Linked DNA regions of Kluyveromyces lactis. The protein of the gene in region 1 interacts with the protein of each later gene in a pairwise test. Links are inferred from orthologs where the notes say so. Each region holds a gene or a part of one and is shown on either strand. Other genes may lie near its edges.

Region 1 (6,882 bases):
AGGCGCCGCTGAAAATGTAAGTTCGTTCGATGACGATAGATTCAAGATTGTCTCTAATATCCCTGAGCCAGGAACGTCACAGGTTCAACAGGACAGAACTCCTGATAACGCAGACGTATACGACAAGAGAGATTCGGGCCTGCCTCAAGGGTATGAAACTGATGATTTCCCAGATATTCATGCCGATGGAGGGGATATTATGGATGATAATGATCCACTTCCCGATTCTTACAGGACTCCACCAAAGCCTACGAGGAGAGAAAGGCGATTTATGAGACAGTTACCGGAAGCCGACGAGAATGAAGAAGATGAGGATATTTCTGTCCAGCTCACTCCGGTAAGGCGAGAACTGGATGATTATAGAGACGTTCCCGATCTTATAAACGATGCAGACACTACCAGAGATGAATCTTTTAATACATCAGAAAACGCGTTGTTAGAAGACGAACTCGACGATGATTTCCAGCCTGGGAGTGAAGAGGAAGAAGATAGAGATTACGTGGAAGGAATATCAGGATTTCGTGATGCTAGCTCGGATAGCTCAGAAGATAGCTCAGATTACGATTCAGAAGAAGATGATGCTGTATTGAGCGACGTACGAAAACAGAAAAGAGATATTGAATCTGCATCTGACGTGTATGATTCCGACGAAGATTACATTCAGACACAAGCTAAAGATTTATTGAAAGACGAAAGTCCAAGTACGGAAGGCGGAATTCGTAGATCGAATAGAGTCAAAGTTGCACCGCTTGAGTACTGGAGAAATGAAAAGATCGTGTACAAGAGAAAATCAGAGAAGCCTGTCCTTGAGATTGAAAAAATTATCACGTATGATCATGATCAGGATGAAGAAGAGGAGCAACTACTGAAAAGTAAACGTGCTAAAAAGCAGGTAATGAAAACCAAGACAAGACCGTATAACTACATTCCGTCCGGTAAACCTAGAGGTCGACCACGGAAAATTAAGCCTGTGGATGATCAGAACATTACCGATCCAAACGCTCCAATTATTCAAGATATTCAGCAAGGAACTTATCCAAATGCTGAATGGCTGAAACAAGGTATTCTTCAATCAAAGGTCAATGTTACAGCTGATGAGAAGAAAGAACAGAATATATTGGCTTTTGCTCCTGGGTTAGCACAAACTGAACAGGTTACAAGCACAAACCAGGATAAATTTACTTTATCGATTTTATTCGATAAACACAAAGAAAGGTTTGCCAGCGGTATGCTTAAGCTTCCGCTCGATGGAGAAAAGACCCCTAGTGATTCACATAACGCTTTTATCAATTTTTTCGTTGTTAAAGGTGTTGTTGAAATATCTGTGGGTGATAACAAGTTTGTGTGTACAACGGGTTCTTCTTTTCAAGTACCGGCGTTCAACACTTACGGTTTTCTCAATAAAGGAATGACAGAAGCGCAACTTTTCTTCGTTCAAACAACCGTCCCTGAAGATTTTAATGGTGCAGATGACATTTTTGAAGATTCGGAGATGTCTTCTAATAAATCTTCGAGCGATATGAGTCTCACATCTACCTAATGTGAATGAAATATTAATAACACAACTATTCTATATAGAAAAAATAAAGTTTTAAATTCATGTAATGCCGTAAAACAGAAATGATTATGATTGTTCATCGTATTTGTCTTCATCGTTTTCATCATCTTCCATACTTTCTGCTAGTTTCTTCATCCTTGCCAGTTTAACCAACGGTGCAAGGGAGGTGTTCTCTTCCGCAATTTCAGTGATAAATGGATCTTCAAGAAGATCTGCTGCGGTTCCTCTGTCCTCTGGATCAACCATTAAACACCAATTTAAGAACATAGCCATTTTATGACTTAAATTTCCAGGATCCTTTAGCTTTGGCGTACCATTGGTAGCGATCAAATATAGAGCTCTTAGTGGTGTCTCATTCAGATATGGTGGTTCACCTTCTATCATTTCAATGATCATAATACCAAGAGACCAAATATCAACCTTTGGTCCATATTCTTTTCTTGATACGACTTCTGGGGCCATCCAGTACGGAGTACCAACCATCGTCGTTCTCTTCAAATTTACCTCGTTAATCTGAGCACAAAAACCGAAATCTGTTAGTTTGATGTCTCCGTTCATGGATAGCAAAATATTGTCTGATTTAATATCTCTATGAATGACTCCCTTTGAATGCAAAAACTGTAAACCCTTGAGTGTTTCTCTAGAGACGGCACCGATTTGCCCTTCAGTCAATATACAGTGCGTAACGACATCAGTCAACGAACCACCTTCCATGTATTCCATGACAACCCATAAATCACCTCTAAATAGGTATGAATCAATGAAATTAACAATGTTGTTGTGTTTGCTTCCTTTCATGACCAGAATTTCATTCACAATTAACTCTTTCTTGGGTTGTTTCTCCAAATTCATCTGTTTTATTGCTACTGAAGCATTTGTGCCCAATTCATACGCTGTGTAAACTCCTCCTGATGCACCTTGTCCGATTTTGATCAGATTCTTGTACAGTTTGCTTGGGTCTCCTGTTGTGCAAATCTCGGTTAATTTTGATTGAATTTGTTGATTCTTTCTTTTCCTCTCTTCCCTCTTTTTTTCCTGGGCCTTTCTTGTCTGGACATTAGAAGTATTCGATTCCTCTTTCACTTCCACAGCAAGCCCGGAAGGAATTGCAGGTATTGAGGATTGTTCCGGTGTTGTAGGAATTGCAGGTTTTGGTGGAGTAGGAGCCGCTCTTGCAGGCAATAAATTTGCTGGTTTTTCTGCAGCCTTTGGAATAGGAGGTAATGGTTGCTCACTTTTCAATGTTGGCATCTTCTTGAATGAGAAAATGCTTGATGACTGAGTATCACTTCTTTGCACTTTTGGTGTTCCATGGCCAAGCGAATTGATTGGTGAAGGGATTTCGACCCTACGGCTAACTGTGGAGGAACCTTGAGGTTTTGGAGCAGGCCGAGTCGGTATGAACTTTTCGTTGTTCACAGTTTCACTGAAATCGTTAGTGAGCAGCGGACCCTGTAAGTTACTAGAGTATGGGGTATCATTGTTTTCATTCGGAAAAGTTGCATCTGTTTGCATTTGCGGAGTTTCGAACTTCTGTACTGATGCAGTTGATGGGGTTCTGAAAGAAGGTGTAGATGCAATGTTTGCACCAGAGCCACCTCCTACTTTGAAAGTCTTGAAGACTTTCTCTTCTCCAGAGTTTTCAGTAACATCTTGGTAGAATTTTACAATATCCATCACAGCCTGGGGATGTTGCTGTTGTTCTTTCATACTAATGCCACTGGAAGTTAAAAGTTTCTCCCATTCATTTGGTAACCCTGTATATTCCCCTGTTTTGGAGTCAACACCTACATGATAAACATGCTTAGCATTATAAGGAGTAGAGATCTTAAATGCATTATTTCCACTTCCATTACCGCTTCCGCTAGAAATTCTTTTCTCTGAGTGTGAGTTCCTCTTGATGTTTTGAACGAATGTTGAGAAAACACCTTTCTTCTTAGTACCGGTCTTCCTCTTAACATCATTAGAGGAGGTGGAGGAATTAGAATTCCTCTGGGAGTGGTCAGGCGTCCCATGCTGACTCTTAACGTTTTTCCTCAGAGAAGAAAACGGAGAAGAAATGGTTCTGAAGGGGGATCTTGATTCTGATACTGGTGTTTGATTTTCGAAAAAGTTATTCACCATTACGGGAGTTTTAATTGGAGGATCCTCATTTGTTGTTTCTGGATGTGGTTCTTCTTCAGGTATTACTTCATGCACACTTACGTGTTTCGAATGATCTGCAGACGCTGTCGATGCCTTGTTGAAACTATCTGTAGATGATAATATCTCATTTAGCGGGGACTCATATACATCATTGGCATCAACTTCAGTTATAGGTGTTGTAATCTTTGGAGAATTTGAGGTTTGTGTGGAATTTAGGAAGTCAGAAGAAGTTTCCAGGGCCCCGCCCATAAGAGAGAGATCAGGTGTCATCCTCCCGCCAGTAGATATTCTACCTATATTTTGGGAGGAACCTTCTATAGTTGACATCGTCTTATCTCCAACAATAGATTCAATTGTCCCTGGCGTCTCCTTCGAAGTCAAATTATTTCCTTCTTCCACTTTTCCTTCTAGATGCGATATTAAATCTGCATCACCTTCCGATATACTTTCACTTAACACAGAACTGGAAGAGACTCTTGTAAATTGTATCGGTTCATCCAAAGTTGGCTGGTTACTATTAAAAATTTCCGAAACATTTGTTGGTACGGTGCCCGGTTTCCCTGGATCCATAGATTTATAATCTGAAAGGTCTTTGACGTAATGATCTTCGTCTGATTCTTGTAATCCTTTCACATCCAAACTCGCTGGTGCACGAGGTAAATCAAAGAGATCTTTTGAGACAGATTGTTCCCTAGTCTCCGTTACTTCTGTATGATCCTCTAGAGTTTGTACTGAAAGATTTTCACGATGTACATCCTCTTGTTTTGAATCTTGATTTTGACTTTTGCGTATGCTACTGGTGTCACTTTCTGTATTGCCACCATTTTCTCTCACGGAAAGCGCATCAAATGTGCCTGGTAACAATTCTTCAGTATATCCAGTATCCGTCATTATATGGAGACAAAGTAGTGAGTGTAGTAGCTTCTATCAAAAAAAAAAGGCCTGTGTCAAAAGATGTCTTGTGGTTAATTCTATCGACCGAACAAAAAGGAAAGGTATTCCGAAAAACACAAACAGGTCTGTAATGATTTCTAGAGCATACAACCGTCAGTAACAAAGCCTGCTGTGGCCGTGTTAATTTCTGTCAGAAAAAAAGCTAGATTACTTTGTTCAAAGAATAGAAGATCAAGTCAGATAAACAATGAAAGAAATGACAAAACGTGCTCTGTAAAATTCTTTCTACCTTCACCTCCTTCTAACTTAAAAACGAGAGCCTGTTGTGTAATTCAGTGTAACGAACGTCTTTTGATTGCTAAAATCACACTCTCGCCAAAACAAACAAATAATGTGTGCTTGTTATTAAAAAGATCCAAAAGAAGATGGTATTACCTGGTATTACTCTCTGAAATACTTGTCAAATCGGCAGAGATAGCCTGATTAATAAAATTTAAAACCTAGTTCTAACACAAGCCACAGTTAAAGCAACAATTGAGCTTGCTCGTTTCTCTAATCTGCTTATAAACATGCATACCATCTGATCTTTACATTCCGTTTGTTTAAACTCTTAAGCTTTAAATTTCAGTTTCAACATTTTCGCCAATCCCAAAGAGTAAATCCTGTCACATGTCACGAAAGTATGTGGTATTGAAATCTTTAGTTAGGGTGGAGTATGGTTAGATCTACAGACATCTCTATGTAGTTATATACATATTCTATGACAATAGGAAGGCTCCGGAACCTTCAGTCATTGCTTGTGCAATACGATCTTTGAGTACCAGTTTATCAGAGTATTTTGGTAGTTTCAAGTAATTGGCGCATGTCATAACGCTAGGTAGGCAATGGTCTGCCGAGATGTTCCCATCTGGGTGCTTCAGGACTACTGTGAATTTGGGTTTTAAGTTTTTGAAACCGCCAAGAGGTAGTTTCGGAGAGCCAGTGATGAATTGTAAGAACAAACGTTTCTGTTGTGTCGAAAAATTCGACAAAATATCTATGAGGTCTGTTATGATTGGAGAATCCATCGAGTAGCCATGGTCTGCATGAATGGATGAGTATAGCGTTTGCACAGACCAATCTTCAGCAACTGCACCAAACAAATCGGATAGTTCTGTCGGAGTTAAGATTAGCAATGATGAATAAGGGAATGATTTCGAAAATCCGTTCCTGAAGGCAGCGAGCTGCATATCTACGCCTTTGCCCAAAAATTGGTCAAAGACACGAATCAAGTACTCTTCCACGTTGAAAGATTCAACTAAGATTTTCGAACCACCTTCCAACAATTCTATATCATAACCAGGCAGCATGAAATATAGGTCAAGGTTTTTGATAGAGTCATCATGACGATTATCATACAAAAATGCGAGTGATTTTCCTAGTTGAACATCAAACTGTCCTACGAGGTGGATACAAGTTTCGAAGTCTTCTAGGTCAAGTCGATCATTCTTGCAGCATTTGTGCATCAACTCGAAGAAAACAGCGTTAAATCTAAAATCGAGAATCCTATTATCTAACATTGACCTAGCGACTAAGGTCCCCAAGTTTTCGAATAATTTCAAAGTCTTTTCGTTATTCTCCTCGGTGGTGCCCAATAATGGTCCAGGGAACAATGCACCTGTCACATACTCCTCCTCATCATCACTGGTATCACTATTGGTCTTCCACATTTTTAGAGACTTCCTTGCAAATTCTTTCGACATCAAAGAGTAAAATTCGAGAGTGGGTCCTAACCCTGTACCTTCTTCATCTTTGTATTCGATCTCCAATACGTTTGGCGAAGAACCATACTTTTTTAGAATTTTGATGCCGGACAAAAATAGTGAGTCTCTTGAAACCCTCAACTTGTGTCTAGTCAACCTGCCTAATTGATGCAATGGATTTTCAGTAGGGTTACTATGGTGCTGATCTGCCAGCTTTTCCCTCCAGTATTGGATCAATCTGCCATATCCATATGATGTATTCTGTAAGAAGTTCATTCTAGTTTCAAATGGAAACAAAAATCCATATTTTCTCGTGATATCGAGGACCCAACTTGGTAAGACCCCACATGCCACAATAAGTGGCTCTTCAAGTTGACGGGAAAGCTTAGCACTAATCTTTGGATTCACATAAATAGATGCTGGGAGTGATTTATGTTGGCAACATTGTAGAACTGTCAAAATACCATTGACAGGCTTCAAATCCGCCCCTTCAAAAGCTGTATCGGGGTAAAGCACATGCAATTGATGTGACTCCCTTCTTTT
Region 2 (4,411 bases), on another chromosome or scaffold:
GAGCCATCGTTCAGTGTTATTAACGGTCGTAGTGGATCTGATGATACTTTTCTCAAAGCGCTCACTTCAATTACACTTTTCAAAATCGCTTGTTGTTACAATATTAGTATTTTGTATTGAAGGTTTTTCACGAACTTAGAATTTCGGTTCTTGGAGGGTAGTGAATGAATAGAAGGAAACAAAAAAAAGTCACGTGAATAAGTGAAGATGTTGCATATTCATCACTGCATGGAAAGTCTTTACCGCTGGCGCTTCAAAGAGTTAGAATTGGGGGGTGTATTCATTGGAAGAGATTGTTATTATTATATATTTTGAGTTCGTATGCCATTAAAACCGAGATTTTTATTGTTTTGTTATAAGACAGTTCTATCTTACAGGTAACCCAGGTTAATGCGAAGTAACATCCATTTCATCATCCAAAATATTGCATGGAATCTAAATGTTATTTAAAATATGGTTGATGGTTTAAATATGATTTTATAAGACGTTCCGAAGTTCTGTATTTTTGGATGTGTAAAGTACTTTGCAAGACCAAATAGTATAATTAAAGCAATATGTTAAATGGAAAATGTTTTTATATTTATATAAACTATTGAGCTAAAAGTCAATTAGAAGCCTGAGAGGTTAAATATATCATGAGATAATGAAATCCACACACGAAGAGTAATTTCGTTGAGGTTTTATACTTAAACAAAGCGATACTCCATAGTGTTTAGTTTTTCGCTTCGAACCAGTTTCGTATTTTAGACGGTTTAGAATTCAAACAAAGAACCAAACGTTTGGTACTTCAGTTTGTCTATAGAAATGTCAAAGAGTTATGAAGTAGTTTTGGTAGTTTTAGGATGTTGGTTTAGTGAAATGTAACGCTTTTTCTGGAGATGGGGGGTAGAGCTTTTTTTCTCTTTTGAACCTGCAAAAACTTGGAAACACACTCTCTATCTCACAATCATCTATAAATATAAAACTGGACTTGATGGTGAACGGGAAGATTGTTAAGAACGCTCATCCTTGAGTGAGAAACTTCTTACCTGATACATGTACTGGTAATAAAAAAAAAAAATACAAGGCCGATCACTTTTCACAATATAATACATTTTTTACTCTTTTTAATGACTGGAGGTTCCAGAGCAGCAACAATAGCTTCGTCGAAAACGTTTTTCAAACCACGCTGGGTAAGAGCCGAACATTCAACATATTTTACGGCTCTAAGCTCTCTGGCTAACCTTTCACCTTGCTCTGGAGTGATAGGACGAAGCCTTTGTCTCTGTAGTTTTTCAATAATCACTTTATCATCTCTTAAATCTATCTGAGTACCCACAATCAAACATGGAACACCAGGACAATGATGATGTACTTCTGGGAACCATTTTTCTTTTACGTTCTCAAAAGAAGGAGGAGATATAACACTGAAACAAACCAAGAACACGTCTGTTGATGGGTATGATAACGGTCTTAATCTATCATAATCTTCTTGACCAGCTGTATCGAAAAGACCTAGCGTGTATGGCTCATCGCCAATCATCACCGTAACAGCATAATTGTCGAAAACGGTTGGAACGTAGTCGGCTGGAAACTGGTTAGTTGTGTATGAAATTAGAAGACACGTCTTACCGACAGCACCATCACCTATAACAACACACTTAAGAGTTTGCATGTTTTAAATTCCTTTCTTCCTTGCTTTTATACTACTATCACTGCAGGCCTTTACGGTGTTACTTCCGGCTGACTGTGCTATGTCTAACATCCAATTTGTCTGACTACTCTCCTTCATCACATACATATCTTCGTCCTCCTGTTCTGTTATTTCAATTTTGAAATGGGAATATGTTAATAGATAAGGAAGTTAGGGTAACGTTGTAACGTGACTTGAATTATTTTCAGTCAAACTCTCCCATATAGAATACAGGAAGACCGCATAGGCGGTTGGCAGTCCGGTAGTGAGGACACTAGCCTTGAAATGCGTACGTATATTTGTCTATAGATTACTTTGCATATGGTTATCTCACGTTTACTCGAAATGCTACATGCTACATTATATTGATTGATATTGACCAATCTTGAACTTCGGAGGAACCATGAAAATTCAAAGGGCATTTATGACGTTATTGACTTATTCGTCTTCGTCACTGTCTTCTTCATCAGATGATTCTTCATCTGCAGTCTTTAGCCAGTCCACCCATTTGGCCAGTAGAGCAGTAACTTCGCTGTATTTTGAATCACCGCTTACAGAGTCCCACCATTTGTAAATGACATCTTCCTCTAAGATATCCAAATCATACAAGACATTATATACATGGAATAGAATGAAATCTGGTTTATCGAATTTCTGATCTAGCACACGATCCAGAATGATATTCATTAGATCAATGAACTCATCACTATCAAATGCTTGTCTCTTAAACACAGGACCCCATTGTTGTAAGACTTTAGTGACAGCGTCCTTTGGACCTAGTGTTTGTGTGGCTACAAAGTGGTAAACTCTTCTGAATATAGCGATAACAGAAGCATTCCTGACTTCATGATAAGTGACGTTCATACTCATTCTCAAAGTGTTTAGTTCAAGCATTGATGTGTCTAAATCGTGGTTGTTCTCTATAGCTCTTTCAACTGTTGCGATGGCTTCTTTTTCGAAATCTTCTTCTTCGTCTTCTTCTCCTTCGTAATCAGTATAGATACTAGTCATCGACATGGTTCTCCTCTTTCTATGTTTTTGAGTGATGGATGATATGGAAGTATCCGATAAATAAATGTCATCGTCTCTGTACGTTAATGTGTTCGCAATACCCTTTTCGGTCGATCCATCTTCATCTTCATCCTCATCATCACTTTCGTATAGTACGCCTCTCCCGTTTGGCCCAACCAACTGCTTAGATAGTTTAATCTTCGCATCGGCAACTTCATCGGAATTACTGATTGATAAAGAAGATGAATTTCTGGTGAATGTGCTTCCTTCTTCGTCCTCATCGCTGGAAGAAAGATTATGTGCTGTATCTAAGAATTGAGCTGTGTTCCTCTGTACTGGAACCGCTGAAATCTTGGTTCCAACTGGGATTGTAACATTATCGTCAATCACTACATTGAATCCGATAATGGAACCATCATTCAAGGTGACGTTTGATCCTAATTTAACATCTGAAGCAACTAAAGAGTGCTCAATTGTAGTGTTATCATCAATGACAACATTGTCCCAAATGTAACTGTTTTTGATTCTGATGTTTGAGCCAATTTTACAATTTCTACCAACAACACTATTTTCAATGACTGTACCTTCTCCAATCTTGGATCCTGAGCCGATGGCCGTGTTTTTCTTTATCTTACAGGACTGCGCTAATACCACGTCTTTTTCCTTATAAATGTGTTGGCTTTCGTATGAATAAGTTTGGCCCTTTAAAAGGTTGGCATTAAGAACCAATGGGTAACACCATCTAGCAATAAAATCTTGCGAGATAGCATCATACGTTTGCCAACTTTCTGCTCTAGTGGTGTATTCGTCGGTAATGTACCCGTAGATATGTTTCTTCAACAAATCACTAGAAAGCACACCTCTAACAAAATCTCTTCTCAAGAATTGGTAATCGAAATTCTCTTGGAAAATAGCAGGGACATGAGGAGAACAGATATCTACATGGCAATCAATCAAATCGTTGCGTAACACAAACTCGTCAACACCTTCCAGAAGTTCAGGATCAATATCAATGGTAGTTTTTTCTCTAGAGCTAGCCAATGGGATATCCTGGTAGTAAATACATCTATCATTAGACTTATCAAAAATGAACGTTGCTGGTTCATGAGACCTTGTCTTATGAAACTGAGTCGCTTTACTTAGGCACATAGTGACAATATGATCCTTATCAGCCTTTCTCCTTTGTTTATGAATATCTAAAGCCTTTTCAAAGTCCATATTAGTCACCAAATCACCACTAACAAGTACGAAATCACCGGTAATTAGCCCACGGTTATCGACATCTCTCATTGCATCTCCAACAGATCTGGACTCTAGCGACATGATGGTATTCACCTTAAACGGAGCCCATGGTAAACTCCATTTGGACTGATCGATATATTCCTGGATCTGTTCACCATGCGATGCACAAATCAGATAAACTTCGTTGACTCCGGCCTTAGCTAAGAACTCCAAAGTATATTCAATCAAGGGAATGTTGGCCAACGGCAACAAACATCTTGGTTTCACCGAAGTCAAAGGCATAAACCTAGTCTCAAACGAGTCAGTCAAAACAATCGCTTGTAAACGTTCATCTTGAACAACCTCTTGTTTCTTATTCTGATTGGCTTTACCAGATTTGGTCTTCTTTCCACTCATCTTTCGATTGTAAATTACGGGAAACTCTGGAAACAAAAAAAGCTTAAATGAGTACAAGTATACTATTAATAAACAGGGTACCTTTTTCCC

Evidence for each region.
Region 2: the proteins of STE20 (region 1) and CDC42 interact in a two-hybrid assay, tested with the Schizosaccharomyces pombe proteins (4 studies listed by BioGRID). The link is inferred for Kluyveromyces lactis from reciprocal best matches to the Schizosaccharomyces pombe genes shk1 and cdc42.

What each region holds. Positions count from the first base shown.
Region 1 is NC_006038.1:1,189,304-1,196,185, reverse strand, and holds STE20 (mitogen-activated protein kinase kinase kinase kinase STE20), read right to left. Parts: upstream 4,595-6,882; coding exon 1,625-4,594; downstream 1-1,624. Other genes in the region: MIF2 (Mif2p), read left to right, coding at 1-1,540; putative ubiquitin-protein ligase UFD4, read right to left, coding at 5,356-6,882. UniProt on the Schizosaccharomyces pombe protein: MAP4K component of the MAPK pathway required for the mating pheromone response. Phosphorylates histone H2B to form H2BS10ph. Phosphorylates tea1. Required for skb1-dependent mitotic inhibitory function. Regulates microtubule dynamics and cell polarity.
Region 2 is NC_006037.1:381,165-385,575, forward strand, and holds CDC42 (Rho family GTPase CDC42), read right to left. Parts: upstream 1,655-4,411; coding exon 1,079-1,654; downstream 1-1,078. Other genes in the region: chaperonin-containing T-complex alpha subunit TCP1, read right to left, coding at 1-7; GCD6 (translation initiation factor eIF2B catalytic subunit epsilon), read right to left, coding at 2,111-4,321. UniProt on the Schizosaccharomyces pombe protein: Involved in development of cell polarity during the cell division cycle.